Cricetulus griseus: one gene and its partner. The protein of the gene in region 1 interacts with the protein of each later gene in a pairwise test. Links are inferred from orthologs where the notes say so. Each region holds a gene or a part of one and is shown on either strand. Other genes may lie near its edges. The genes, in order: Znf446 and Znf496.

Evidence for each region.
Region 2: the proteins of Znf446 (region 1) and Znf496 interact in binary tests that used the Homo sapiens proteins (3 or more experiments, as listed by UniProt). The two-hybrid records come from large-scale screens. The link is inferred for Cricetulus griseus from reciprocal best matches to the Homo sapiens genes ZNF446 and ZNF496.

The regions. Positions count from the first base shown.
Region 1 is NC_048602.1:25,554,963-25,563,067, forward strand, and holds Znf446 (zinc finger protein 446), read left to right. Parts: upstream 1-2,677; 5' UTR 2,678-2,995; intron 2,996-3,180; exon of another isoform or gene 3,181-3,329; intron 3,330-3,336; exon of another isoform or gene 3,337-3,644; intron 3,645-3,775; 5' UTR 3,776-3,815; coding exon 3,816-4,157; intron 4,158-4,231; coding exon 4,232-4,436; intron 4,437-4,715; coding exon 4,716-4,810; intron 4,811-6,826; coding exon 6,827-6,911; intron 6,912-7,122; coding exon 7,123-7,691; 3' UTR 7,692-8,072; downstream 8,073-8,105. UniProt on the Homo sapiens protein: May be involved in transcriptional regulation.
Region 2 is NC_048600.1:73,543,074-73,549,397, forward strand, and holds the end of Znf496 (zinc finger protein 496), read right to left. Parts: intron 6,229-6,324; coding exon 6,118-6,228; intron 2,677-6,117; coding exon 1,922-2,676; 3' UTR 296-1,921; downstream 1-295. UniProt on the Homo sapiens protein: DNA-binding transcription factor that can both act as an activator and a repressor.

The DNA of each region.
Region 1 (8,105 bases):
CTCTGTGAGTTTGAGGACAACCTGGTCTACAAAGTTCCAGGACAGCCAAGGCCGGGAAATTAAAGAGAAAAGGAAAGAAAAAACAAAATGAAAACACAACCATACACTTAGCTCTTCGCTCACTTAAGTCTACAGGTAACAATGGGGGAAACATGACAGTGGCACTTGGAACCCAGAAGTAGATGAGTCATCCTTGATTCAAGGGAAGCCAAATACTGAATTGACACAGGGGTTTGTCTTGTGACTTTCCTGAGCAGACATACACCTACACTCCCCAATTAGGGAAAGAGAAAACACAAATGAAAGATCCTAAATCCCACTTGGCAAATAAGTTTATTGGTGTAAGGAGTCAGGCACTATGCTGGCCTGCCCCTGTCACCTGGCAGAATGCACTCAGGCAGTATCTTGGTCAGCCCAGGGTTCCATGATTCCGTGGTTTGCACGTAGGTGCAAAGGACTCCTTTAAAAGAAAGACCTCTGTCTACTTTCTTCTGCTCTCTCTTTCCCTGGTTCCCCTGGGGCAGACAGAGACAGAATTTTTCCTGTCTCCCTCGTCTCTTCTGTCCTCTCTGTCTCTGTATCTCTCTCTTTACCTCTTTTCTCTTTCCTTCCCCTTCCCTCCCCTTTCTAATAAAACTCTTCACTTAAGCTCCGTTTGCCAGGCATGTTTGTCTATCTGCCTTGGTCAACCTCACCTGCCATGGAATCTGCCAAGTCCCCCCAGGCAAGATTCCCCTCAAAGGTTACCATAACAATTGAGGTTACAAGAACATGGGTGACTGAATAATCCCAACTCTAATCAGTTTTTTCACCTTAAAATTCAGCTTGTTTGTTTCTGAGACAAGGTTTCTCTGTGTAACAGCTCTGTCCTGGAACTCACTCTGTAGACCAGGCTGGCTTTGAACTCAGAGATCTATTGCCACTGCCTCCTGAGTGCTGGGATTAAAGGTTTGCCCTACCACTGCCCTGTCTAAAATTCAGCGTTTCAAAGATCACACACAGTTGGGCAGAAGGACTGGTGACCCCCCTACCCCACCCCAAGAGAAAATGTCAATACCCCAGTATCACAGACCTAACTATTTGCTGTATAATTTCTATGCATTAATTTCTAAGGGCAAGGTCAGTAGGTTGCCATAGACCCTCTGCTTTAAGATGGCTGAGAGGCCAACTTGGGGAACTTAGATCCTATCTCAAAAAAAAAAAAGAAAGAAAAGAAAAAAAACTATTTTTTAATGATTGCATTGGCCAACCCAATATAACCATAGTAATTAAGGGAGTTGGGGCTAGCTCAATGGTTGTTTTCCTGGTAAACATTCGGCTATAAATTTAAAGCCCAAGTATACCACATGATTCAATCAGGTCTACCCTGAAGCACAGAGAAGGCTTGGGAGCCAGCTAACCTTGGACGGGAGCCCTAGAACAGAGATGCTTCCAGGGACAGCTGCTTCCAAGAGGACAGCTGCCTGGGAAGTCCCTTAAAGCCCAGCCTCTCCCCACTGGGTGGGTATGAGAGCTTTGTCCACAGAATCTATGAAAGACCTCATCTCCCAAGATAGTTCAGCTGGTAAACCCAGTTGACAAACTCTACCCGCACAACTGCTCAAGAGTTTCAGATGTGGAGAACTGCTGCTCACTGCTAGCTGCTGGCAGCCGAGGAGGGGGTTCTCAGGAATCAGAAAAAAAAACAAACAAACAAACAAAACAAAACAGAATAGACAGATCCGCTTCAGGACTGAATGATTCTATCATGGTTCAGACTCTTGGTATGTGGAAACAAAATTAACCTCATGTGCACATAAATTTAATAGCCCTTACTTGCTGTGTGTGGTGGTTCAGACCTTTAATCTCAGCAATCAGGAGGCAGAGGCTGCAGGATCTCTCGGTGAGCTCCAGGCCACCTGGGGACTTGAGACCCTACCCCCCCCAAACAAACAAATAAAAGCCATTAACTTTATTTTTTTAACAATTTAACTTTGTTTTTAAATGTGCGTTGGTGTGAAGGCATCAGATCCCCAGAACTGGAGTTACAGACAGTTGTGAGCTGCCATGTGGGTGCTGGGAATTGAACTCTGGTCCTCTGGAAGAGCAGCTAATGTTGTTAACCTCTGAGCCATCTCTCCAGCCCCTCACCTCACCCCATTAACTTTATTTTTAAAAAGCCTTTTTCCCAAAAGACTTTGGAGAGGGAAAAAAAAATGAGTAAGGGCCACCTTGTCTAACTGCAGCCTCCAAATTAAAAGTTGAGTGTGTCTCATAATCTCAGACAGAACCCTCCATCTCCATTTGCAGTAGTACCGCTATCTAAAGAGGGGGTGACCACATGGTCACCTCCTCTGAACGCCTGCTCGCCCACCCATGGGCCTATTTACTTAACGGACTATAACAAAGGCCATACTGGGTGTGCTCGCCCAACGCTGCCTCCCACCGGGATCCTCTGGAACTCGCACCTAGGTCTTCTCGGCCGGCCGCAAGGCCACGCTTACAGCGTTGCTTTGGCAACCGCAGAGGTGCGCTCGCTGTTACCTAGGAGACACACGGAGCGATGCTCCCTTCTCGTAGCTGAGCGCCCGGCTCTAATTGGGCAGAACGCCTCACCAGCCAATAGGAGCCAGGCGCGCTGCACACATGCGCAAGGAGGCTACGGTCCCGCAGCCCGGGTCCGCAGTGGGTGAGTCCTTCGGCTGGGGTGCCAAGGAAGAACGGGTCGCCAAGTCAGGAGAGGGAGCCCCGTCCACCACCACCACCCCCGGAACTCTGCGACACCGCGGGCTCCAAAGGAGAGGAACGGAACGAAGCCGCTGGCGCGCGAGGGGCCCGAGAAACGCGCGCTCCCCCTTGCTGAGGCTCACGGGAGATGTAGTCCGCGCGGAGGGGGCCGTGCCTGTGGGGCCGGTGCAGGATTGGCCAGGCCGGTAGTGAGTGGCGGTGGGGCGAGCGGTGTAGCCTCCCTTCCCGGAAGTGCCCCGAGCTCCTGGGGCGCCAGGAGGCGTCAGAGGTGAGCGAGCTGCTCGACTGGGCGGGCCCAGCTTCTCGTGGCTCCCCCCCCCCCCGAGCTCGAGGAGCGCCCCACTGCCCCCAGCCTTCGAACCCAGAACTCCGGGGGTCCCCTTCCTCCTGAAAGACCCTCCCTCTCCTTTGCTGTGTCAGAAACTGACACCCACCCCACCCCCAACTCTACAGGTGCCCCAGGAGAGCCGGTTTCAACCCAGAACCTCTTAAGGACTGGGACACAGGTTCCAGTTTACATGTCCACGTGATGCACGGCTGTCTGCTTTGGCTTCTGCTTGGGCGTTTCCTAGGCGTAGTGTGAGGCACCCACGGTTTTGTCGGTGAGCAGTGTCACCAAGCTCATATAGGCCCCTGGGAGTTGGCCCAGGCTTTCAGCACTGTCCCGGGTGATGTACCCAGACCCCAGAGCCAACTCTTCAGATAGACCAACACGATCTGCTTTCTGACTGAAGCCTCCAGGGCTCCAGGTCGCCCTGAAGGATGGTCCTACCTGTGCCCCCCTGATCCTTTGTCGGCTGGGGGAGCCACGGTAGTCCTCTGTTGGTAGTCCCAAAGGTTTGGGCCAGCCATGGAAGTTTCCTAGAAGGCCCTTGGACACCTTCCACCCAGGCATTTATCATCCATGCACCCTCCAGGTTGGGACCTGCACCTCCCGTTTCCTTCCTCGAAGCGCTCCTGGCCTTGGGGTTCTCTTTCCTGGCTTCTAGGAGGGGTCTGGTGTGTGCTTTTGGCCTTAGATGACACTCTGGTTCCTCCTTTCCTGTAGGTCCCTCCTGACAGCTCCAAAAAGACCCTTCAAAACAAGAATGCCAGCTCCTCTAGGTCCCCCACACCTCTCCCTCGGGGACTCCGAGACCACCATTGAGGAGCCTGAGGCTGCGCGACTCAGATTCCGGGGTTTCTGCTATGAGGAGGTAGAGGGGCCCCGAGAGGCCCTGTCCTGCCTTCGCGACTTGTGTCACCAATGGCTGCAACCTGAGTCATGCTCCAAAGAGCAGATGATAGAGTTGCTGGTTTTGGAGCAGTTCCTTGGCGTGTTGCCCCCTGAGATCCAGGCCTGGGTGCGAGGGCAGCGACCAGGAAGCCCTGAGGAGGCTGCAGCCCTGGTTGAGGGGCTGCAGCTTGATCCTGGGCAGCTGCTGGGCTGGGTGAGTGTAAATGGCATTAGCTGCTCAGGAGGACAGACTGAAGGTAGAGCCCCCCGTGACAGGCTTCTCTTCAGATCACAGCCCACATCCTGAAACCAAAGACGCTGCTTACAGTCCAGCGGACAAAGGAATCTTCCGGGAGCCGCAGCGTCTCAGTAGCAACGGAGTCCTCCGAGGCAGGCCCTTCGGAGGAAGTACCACAGGGTTCCAGCCTAGACAGATCTACCCAGATCCACTTGGTTGTGAAGGAGGAAGCCAGCGCCGATGGACAGGAGACGGGTAGGTGAGGGGTGACAACATCAGAATTTCAAATCTCTGTGTGTGGGTGTGGGGTGGGGGATGTGGTATCCTAGGAGGGGTTGTGTCGGGGGCTGGGACTCCTGAAATAAGTCTGCATGTCCCCAGCTGGGAGAGGGACCCTGGAGAGATTACAAAGGTGGATTCCTATGAAGCAACAAGACAAGACTGACCTCGCACCATGCCACATGGCAGAGGCAAGCCAAGGCCAATGCAGTCACCACAGCTTGATGCTCCTTCCCGTCTCCTTGTCTTTCTCAGTATCCCCAAGCCCCCTCCTTCCAGCCCAGGCCCCTGAGGGACATCTTGGACACCAGGAAGCAGCCTCCACATCCTCCCACCCAGGAAGGATCCAGGTAAGCAGCCTACAGCAGGAAAAGCAGGCCATGGGTGTATATGGGGTGTCTCTGTTGGTTGTATTCCCACCCTGTGGTTTGGTAGGGTCCTCTGCCAGTGACTCGTGTGTTTGTGCTTTTTGTTTTTACTATTCCTGAGTAGTAAATAACTTCCCTTCCAGCAGGTTCTAAGGGCTGAAGACTAGACTGGTAGGTCTCTCATTGGAAAAGATTTAGGCCTGGTCCAGAGTGGCTAGAGCTGGTGGCCATGGCTTCCTCACCCCAGAGAGGCTAGTTACTGGAAAGGCTTGTTATACCTTGAGGTCATGGGCCAGCTGTTATGTGTGCGGGCGGAGAGGAGACTGCCACGGCAGGGTTCCTGCATCCCTGAGAGCAAATCAAGACACTCTCCCTGAGTATGCCTCAAGTCCCTTCTACTGCCCTTGTCAAAGGACAGTGACCTGGAACCTTAGTTTAAAGCCCCTGCTACCTGAGCGTGCATAGTTGACGTGGAGGGGTAGGGATCCTATCCTCTTCAGGGTCTTTCTGTCCCTGGGCCCCTCCACTTGGGAGCCCCCTACCTCAATAGAGGGTCTAGTTAAGGTGTGCTTCAAGGTTAAGAAACCCCTCTAGGATGTCTCTCTGGTGCCCTCACTTCTGGTCAGCATCGCCTCTAGATTTAGCTGTCTGTGGCTTCCAATTCCCTCTTTTCCAGATTGTCCTTGGCTTGTCCTTCGGGGTTACTTTTTCCCAACCTGCCAAAGACCTGTATGGCAGATCTTAGAGCAAGGAAGAAGGTAGACCTTGCCGGGCTGTGTTGGTGCATGCCTTTAATCCCCCAGCACTCGGGAGGCAGAGACAGGCGGATCTCTGTGAGTTCGAGGCCAGCCTGGTCTACAAAGCTACAAAGCTACAGGGAAACCCTGTCTTGAATAATAATAATAAAAAAGGTAGATCTTTTAGACGGGGAATTCTTCCCTTGGGAAGGCCAGAATAGGTAGGAAGGCTTCTGTCCTGCCACCAAACTTACCCTCTTCAGATCTTCCTAAACGAGCTGCCACAAAGCTCTGGAGCTTTCTCTATCACCACTTCATCACAGTCCTGAAATCCCTCATTCTTAACCTTAGCGTCACTCCCAACCTTTTTGTTTTGAGACAGCATCTCTCTACATAGCCCTGACTGTCCTAGAATGAACTAGCCATGTAGCCCAGGCTGGCCTTGAACTCACACAGCTATACCTGCCTCTGCCTCTGAGTACTGGGATCGAAGGTATGCCCCACCGTGCCTGCCTCCTTAATCCTCTTTCTCAAAAATAAAATGAAATAAATAAAAGTGTTGGAGATGTAGCTCAGTTGGTAGAGTGCCTGCCTAGCATGCACGAGGTCCTAGCTTCTGTTCCCAGCACTGCATAAACCGGGAGTTCTGTAATCCCAGAACTCAGGAGGTAGAGACAGGAAAATCAGAAGTTTAAAGTCATCCTCAGCTCCATAGTGAGTCTGAGCCAGCCTGGCCTACACAGACCCAATCTCACACATACACACTCCAATAAATGTAAAAAGAAAAAACAAATTTCATGCTGAGGAAGTTTCTCTCATAACGGATGACTGTGAGCCACCATGTGGTTGCTGGGAATTGAACTCAGGACCTCTGGAAGAGCAGTCAGTGCTCTTAACCTCTGAACCATCTCTCCAGGCCCCAAGTTTCCATTTTGTTAATCAGTCTTGGAAAAGGTAGCTGAATCCCAGGTAGTCTCCTGGCCTCTTACTGCCCTCCCTTCCAAGCACATTCTGTACGGTTTAGTTACCAGACAAAGGATGGGGACAGCCATGGTGTCTCTGCCGAAAACCCACCCACAGTTTCAGTCCTTCTGGCCACTGAGAAGACAGTGGACAGATGAAGGCTGATCCAGTCCTCACAAGTGCCAGTGCTGACTTGGTCCTTAGGCTGCTGCAGATGAGGTAACCTGCTACCCACTGGGTGGTGGGTAGGGAATGTGAGGCTGGGTGGGAAAGGCAGTGACTGGTTGCGTCCTTGCAGCAGGAGTGGTGCCAGTTGGACTCATCACAAAAAGAGCTGTGCTGGGGCGTGATGCTGGAGAAGTACGGCTCGGAGGTGTCCCAGGGTGAGATTCAATGGCCCTCTCTCTTTCCTGTCTTCCCTGCCCCATCCTCCACGTGCCTCCCCGCATGTGCTAGGCCCCCACCGGGGCTCCCGGTGCAGCAGCGGCCCAGCATCTGGCTGCATCTCTCTCCTACCAGAAGGCACCCTCCCCCACACTTCTGTGCAAGCCCCTGTGTGACCGAGCTCCCAAATGAACGTTCTCCCCAACCCAGCAAGCCTGCCGCCGCTGCTGGAGCCAGATATGCACGTTGAGTCTGAGCTGAGGCCAAAACAGGAGACCCCGCATGCAGGACCGGAGCCCCCCCGGAGCCATCTCCCGGAAGTGGGAGCCATTGCAGGTCCAGGGCTAGTTCAAGCCTGCACATCCCCTCCAAGTGAGAGCCGGAGCCTTTGCAAGGACCCTGCAGGCCCGTCTCCCGCGCCACTGCTTGAAGCCCCCGCTGGGCCCGCACCTCGGAAGCTGTACACTTGTGAGCAGTGCGGCCGCAGCTTCGATTGGAAGTCCGTTTTCATCATCCACCATCGCACGCACCTGGGTGAGCCAGGCCTGGAAAGGCCGCCACAGGTGTCCCGGGAGCCGGCCCTTCGGCACCCCACCCGCCTTCGGGGCTATGTGTGCCTGGAGTGTGGGCGCAGCTTCAGCTGGAAGTCGCAGCTGGTCATCCACCGCAAGAGCCATGTAGGCCAGCGGCGCCACTTCTGCCGGGACTGTGGGTGCAGCTTTGACTGGAAGTTTCAGCTGGTCATTCATAGGAAGATCCACCAGCCAGAGGGCCCATGAGCAGCTGGAGAAGGCGGTCTCATCTTGGCAGCCTCCAGCCCCTAATTTAGCCCTTCAGGCGTCCCCTCCAGCCAAGAGGAGGCTCTGGGACACCCCAAGTGAGTGAGGGACCCCCCAAAAAAAATCCCCTGTCCAACGCCGTATCACCCGGTGTAAGTGGGAGAATCTAGACTATTCTAATCCATGGCTGGGGTCTGACTTGTGCAAGGGGAGGATGCTCCCTGCTTTGGGATGCTCAGAAATTGCCTTAGGTCCCTCCACGAAGTCTCGTGGAAGGTACGGGGGAACCACACGCTGCCTTTCCATCTTCTTGCATGTGACCCTCAACTAACGAGCTTAATTTGTAACCTAAGGTCCATAACTAGAATTTCCGAGTAAGAATTCTGACTTCTGGATTCCACTGATCAAAAGGGC
Region 2 (6,324 bases), on another chromosome or scaffold:
CAGTTATGGCGATGGCCTGGTGGGCTTTGGACCAGGCACTAGGGCTCCCTGGCACTATTTGCTGTATACTTGGGATACCTCCTCTAACAAGCCCTGTACTTTTATCAGCTGATTGTCAAATACACAAATGAATAGCACTATGCTCCCCTTTTAGGTAAGAGTGGAGCCTCAGGCAAGAGAGCAGGGGTAGACAGGGTGAATACAGAGACACTGGCCTCCATGTGAAAGTCTTCCCTCCCTTGACCATAAAGACCCAGCTTCTCCCTTTTCCAGACACAAGGATGGAAGAGAACTATTTAGAAACTAGGACCTTTGACAGTTTATTTCTTGTTCAAGATGTGAACAAATGGTTTTTATTGCATTTACTATCTCTGGGTAATGCACTGAGCAGAAAAAGAAAGTCTTGTAATTCTCTGATTGGGTCTGAAATAAACTTCTTGATGTGAAAATCAGGAGAGAGCACCAGAGGCCTTGAATTCATTTTCCCAGGCTTCCTGACAGCTGAGAGCTGGTACAGCCTACAGAACCAGCCTGGCTGCAGTTCTCAGGTTCAGTCATAGTCACACTGAGGCCAACACCCTCATGGCTGAGCCCAACACCAGTGGGCCAGGGCAGTAAGACCACATTTTTGATTGCTTGAGGTTTCCTATGAACAACCACTCCCAGAATCACAGGCTCTGAACTTAAAGGCCACGGGTAAGGATTCCTCCTTGCAGATGGCTGTAGTTCTGAAAGCAGACAACTAGGATTGAATCCAGCATTCAAAGGAACGAAAGCACGCTACCTCAAGTTCGAATTGGTTCATCTGGGGCAGGAATAACAACAGCACCACGGAATTATCTGGAGTTTGGCTATGTCCACTCAAACCCCAGTGTTGAAGTCCTTACTCCCAGTACCCGAGATGTGACTTTATTTGGAAATGGCCACTCCAGATGTAGGTGGGGTTCTGCTGCAGGAGACAGGATGAGCCCCAACCCAAAAACTGGGATCCTTGTACAAAAGTAAGTTTGGAGACTGACACAGTGGAGATGAAGGCAAAGATAGAGAGACATTTGTACAAGCACAGGGCTACAGACAAGTGTTAGTGACCACCAGACCCAGGATGATTCCCTCTTCTAGCCTCAGAAAGAACCAATCCTGTTGACACCAGACCTCGGCCTTGCAGTTTCCATAACCGTGTCAATGCCACCTGCTGCTATTAGAAGAGCCTATGTTTAGTATGAGTTATAACAGTGCTAGGAAGCTAAACAAACTGCCTTGGAGTTGATACCCTTGAAGGACATGGCTTCACAGAAGCTTCTGTCCCAGGGTTTGGCTCACCTGGCAAAGGAGCCTTGAGGGGCCAAACTCTCAATTCTCAGACAGAATGGGTAGGAATCAGAGTAGTGACAGGCAGTTTCCATCCCACATTTATAAAGGATCTTTGTGGCACAAAGAAGATATTTTGGGATAGGTGCGCACACTTTTAAAATGTGAGCTCCTGATCCCCATATGAGCTTAGCCTAATAGGGTCTAATGACAATTCCCCACAGATCCTAGAGGCCCTCCTGGCCATCTGTAGATCTGTGGGGCATTCTGGACACAGTGATCTCAGGTTGACTTCTGAGGACAGGACCAGGGTCAGTACTTTAGGCAAGCTCCCCACTATACACACCCCGCCTCTCCAAACGATGGATTAGGGGCAGCCCAGTCCCTCTGAGGGCTGGAGCAAGTGGCTGGAGGGCTCCAAGATGCAGATCTTGAGGCTGGAGTTACCTCACCTCCCTGGGTTTGGGCACAGTAGAGGGAATGCTCAGGTGGCTACTTTCTATCTGGAGAGGAAGAGGCATGGCACCAGAAGTTGGACACTACCTGAGAGCAAAGGGCAGGTGGTTTGGGTTTGGTGCTGGGGCAGGGACTAGCTTGTGGGGCCACACCCTGATCAGTATGAGTTCAGAGCCTGCTTGGAGCGACGCTTCATGTGCAGGCGCTCGTGGCGGAGGAGATCATAATTCTGCCGAAAAGTTTTGACACAGTACCGACACTGGAGTGGACGGGCCTCATTCTTCAGGTGACAGTGGCTACGGTGTCTCACCAAATGGTCGTGTCGCTGGAAACCCTTCCCGCAGTTCCCACACTGGAAGCCCAGCTTGGCCTTGCTCTTCTCCAGCAGGGCATGGGCATCTGCGCCCTCTGTTTCCAACGCATCCTCCTCACTCTTCTGCACGGGTTGCTGTTTGTCTGTCTGCAAGTGGATCCGTCGGTGGGAGAGCAGGTGTGAGTTGAGGCGGAAGCTCTTTCCACACACAGTGCACCTGTAGGGCTTCTGGGCCTCATGGGTCTCCAGGTGTTCATCCAGGTCCTCACTGTCACTGAATAGCTCTCCACACACTGAGCATTTGTGTGGTTTCTGCTCCCTGCGGCTGCGCAGGTGCCGGATGAAGTTGACTCTCCAGCGGAAGATCTTTCCACAGTTCGGACACACATAAGACTTCTGTGAGCTCTGTACCTCACCCCCAACCTCAGTGCTGCTCCTGTGGGTTGGGAGACTATGAGGCTTTTCTGCAGGGCTCCCCAGCTCCTCGGTGCAGTATGGGCTATGTTGGGAGTCCTCATCCCCAGAACTGGACAGCACGATCTCAATGGTCACCTCCTGGTCCAGGTTGCTCTTTAGGGGTGGTGGGTCACCACCACCTCCTGTTACAAGAAACCAGTATGGTCAGTGGAATTGTCCAGATGACTTCCTACCCCAGCTCTTAGAAAACCTACTCAGAAAGGCTTAAGTGGGGGTCCAGATACCCTGGGGTTGTAGCATTCCTTAGTAACTCTGGAGGGTTTGGTTGTCCTGCATAGGCTGCTGGTGTAACAACTGGATCTCTTTCTGGCCTTCCTGCTGCTTTTCCCTAATCCTTTCCTTTCAAAGCATTCCTTCCTGAGCCACTGGGACTTAAAATTCTAAGAACTGGCACTTACCTGTGTAAACCTTTGACACACCATTTATATTACTTACTTAACTAGGCACCATGCCAAGGACCCTGGAGGTTCAGGGACCATGTTAGGGATGTGGTGTGCACAGCCCCCTCTGCTCCTAGACATTAACGAGTGCTGCATTACTTATGCTGTACACTCTCACAGGCACAGGGACATGCCCAAGGAAGAAGGGTAGGAGTAGAACTTGACCCTCACTGGTTCCCAACCTAAGTTTGACAGAGCTAGAAGCTGGGCTTTAAAGCTCATCTCTCCTCTGGGTTTTCCAGCTGAGAGGTCGCATTCTAGCCAGGCAGCTTTTCTAAGCCCGTGCAGCATATCTATAAGACTGAAATGACCACAGCTGTTCTGCTTTCCAGGTGGCTGGTGGGGCAACTCCAGTCGTGAAACACTTTCGAGACCTCAGACTAGACAGGTAGAAGATGCTATTGAGCTCTTGTTAATGACAACATTCTTTTATTAATTACTATTAGCTTTCAGTGAAAGAAAAAGTGCTACTACAGTGGACTACAAATGCCAAAGGCAAGTTGACGTCTATGTAGAACCTTGCCCTTGAAAAATGAAGGCTAGAGAAGGCTTAGCAGTTAAGAATGCTTGCTGCTATTCCAGAGGACCTGCTTTGGTTCCAAGCACCAAGGTCAGGCAGTTTACAACCTGGAACTCTAATGTCCTCTTCTGGTCTCCATCGGGACCCACAGGCATGTGTACATATACACATATGTGTAGTGTGTGGGTAAAGAACCAGAACAAAATTATTCTTAAGCCAAGTGGCTTCTCTTTTGTTCCACACAGGTAAATAGCTTACAGACAGCTGCTGCACCTCCATAGGCCCTTTTCCTTTCTCCCACACAGCTCGACTCCCATATAAACCCTAACCCACAACAAAGAGGGCCAATACTTTTCTGAATGCCTAGGCTACTCTAAGAGTGAATATATCTTTTGCTTATACCATACTTGTACACAGTATGTCTGGTCTACATATGTGCTATCTGTGTGCTGGTGTGACACATCTGTATTGGGGGCAGTCATCTCAAATCAGTTGTCAGCATGTTAAGAAAAGGTATGCAGCTGTGTATGGGTTATGAACAGCAGAGACAGAAAGTAGAGCTGCCTAAGTCTGGAAGGTAATAAGTCCCAGACATCAAACATTGAGTTTTACAGCGTTGGACTTTGGTTTGGAATTGAATGTGCCCTGGTTTTTCTGTCTTGCACTAAGAAAACCTATAACTTATTTTTCATTTTACAAGAGCCCACGGTTGAGAAGCTGTACCTTTTTTTTTTGGGGGGGGGGGTTGTTTCAAGACAGAGTTTCTCTGTGTAGCTCTGGCTGGGATTAAAGGTATGTACCATCACTGCCTAGCAAGACTTTGTACTTTAAAAGACTTTGGACATTTTAAGAAGACTGAACATTTTTGTTTGTTTGGTTTGGTTTTTTTGAGATAGGGTCTCACTATGTAGCCCTGGCTGTCCTGGAACTTACTCTATAGAGCAGGTTGGACTTAAACTCAGAGATCAGCCTGCCTCTGCCTCCTGAGTGCTGGAACTAAAGGCGTGTCCTGGAAAAAAGACCAAACTTTTAAGTGTTTGAATTTTAAAGACTGTGGAACTTTTAAAAGTTGCAATGTTTTGAGCTGGGCATAGTGGCACACGCCTTTGAGCCCAGCACTCGGGCAGAGGCAGGTGAATCTATGTGAGTTCAAGGCCAGCCTGGTCTACAAAGAGAGTTCTAGGACAATCAGAGCTGTTACACAGAGAAACCCTGTCTCAAAAAACCAAAAAGTTGAAATGTTTTATATTGTGATAGTAATTACAATACAAGATCTTGGGGACAAATAAGAAAGGAAAGTTTATGACTTAATATGATGTGTTTTGTATATCACGTTGACAAGGGTCAATTGTGTTGGTTAATTTTACTTCACTTTGAAATAAGCTAGTCATGTGGGAAGAGGCTATCTTAATTTAGAAAATATCTCCATATGACTGGGATATGGGAAAGTCTGTGGCGCATTTTCTTGACTGATGACTGATTCGGGAGGGCTCAGCCCACTTAGGGTGGTGTCAACCCTAGGCATTCGGTTCTGAGTTGTGTAAGAAAGCAGGCTGAACAAGCCATAGGAGCACGCCAGTAGGAAGCATTTTTCTATAGCCTCTGCTTAAGTTCCTGCCTCCAGATTCCTGCTCTTGCTTCCCTTAGTGATAAAGTGTGACCCCGTGTAAGTTGAAATAAACCCTTTCCTCTCTAAGTTGCTTCTTCTGGTCATGGTGTTTTATTTTAGCAAGAGACTTCAACTATGACTAAGGCTAAGGTATTGTGTTATTAGCAAGAAAAAGTTTTTTTAAATTTTGTTTTTGAGACAGGGTTTCTCTGTGTAGATTTAGCTGTCCTGTATCTTACTCTGTAGGCCAGGTTGGTCTCGAACTCACAGAGTTCCACCTGCCTCTGCCTCCCAAGTGATGGGATTAAAGGCCAGAAAAGAGTTTTAAGAGTTGAACACAAGTGAATGAAAAGATGCAGAAAAGAAAAAGACAAGGTATTGGTAGAGAGGGGTCTCCCACTTCCAGGCTGACTGACCATGCTCTAGAATCCACTCATGATGGGGAGCTTAGCACTAATGGCTGAATGTCCTGCACTGCACAAGGTGGACATACCAATCCTACCTGCAAAAGCATCACAAGTGAAAAAAATGTGTGACTCTAGACAACTGTAGGAAGCCACTGAGGCACTGGGTTCAAAGATGTGTTTAGCAGAGCCTGTGTGTGCTAATTAGAACAACATCCGGTCCCCAACAATGTTAAAAGATAGCACACTGTAGTCTGCCCTGGAGGTGGTTACGATGACAAGACTAGGACTGGGAAGGCATCAATGCACCTTCTGCGTTCTAGAATCAGCTCTTTACAACAAGATCATCTTGGGATTCTGGCTACCCACCATCAGGTAAAAAACACTCACTACATACAGAGCAGTGTCACATTGCCCTCAACAATCTACTAAGGCAATGAGTAGCCACTGTGGGATGGGCAAACAGCAGGACAAAACCAGACAAGAGGCTGACAACCCCACAGCAGCAATCAACACACACATGTCCATCATCTCTCCCCCACATTCAGACCATGCACCACAAGGTCACACACCACACCCAGGCTCCTCACCTGGACAAGGACTTTGAGTGAGTGCCACCTGCTGGCAGGGCTGGAGCTCTGGCACCTGCAGCTCCTCCCATTTCCTTCCTTCTTCTTGGGATGGCTGGAGACTGGGAAGGTCTTTCCAAAGAAAATGGAGAAAGCAATGTCATATACAGGTATCACTACTCAGAAACAACTAAGGAAGAGGTAGTTTATGATCTGTAGGTGCTGTGT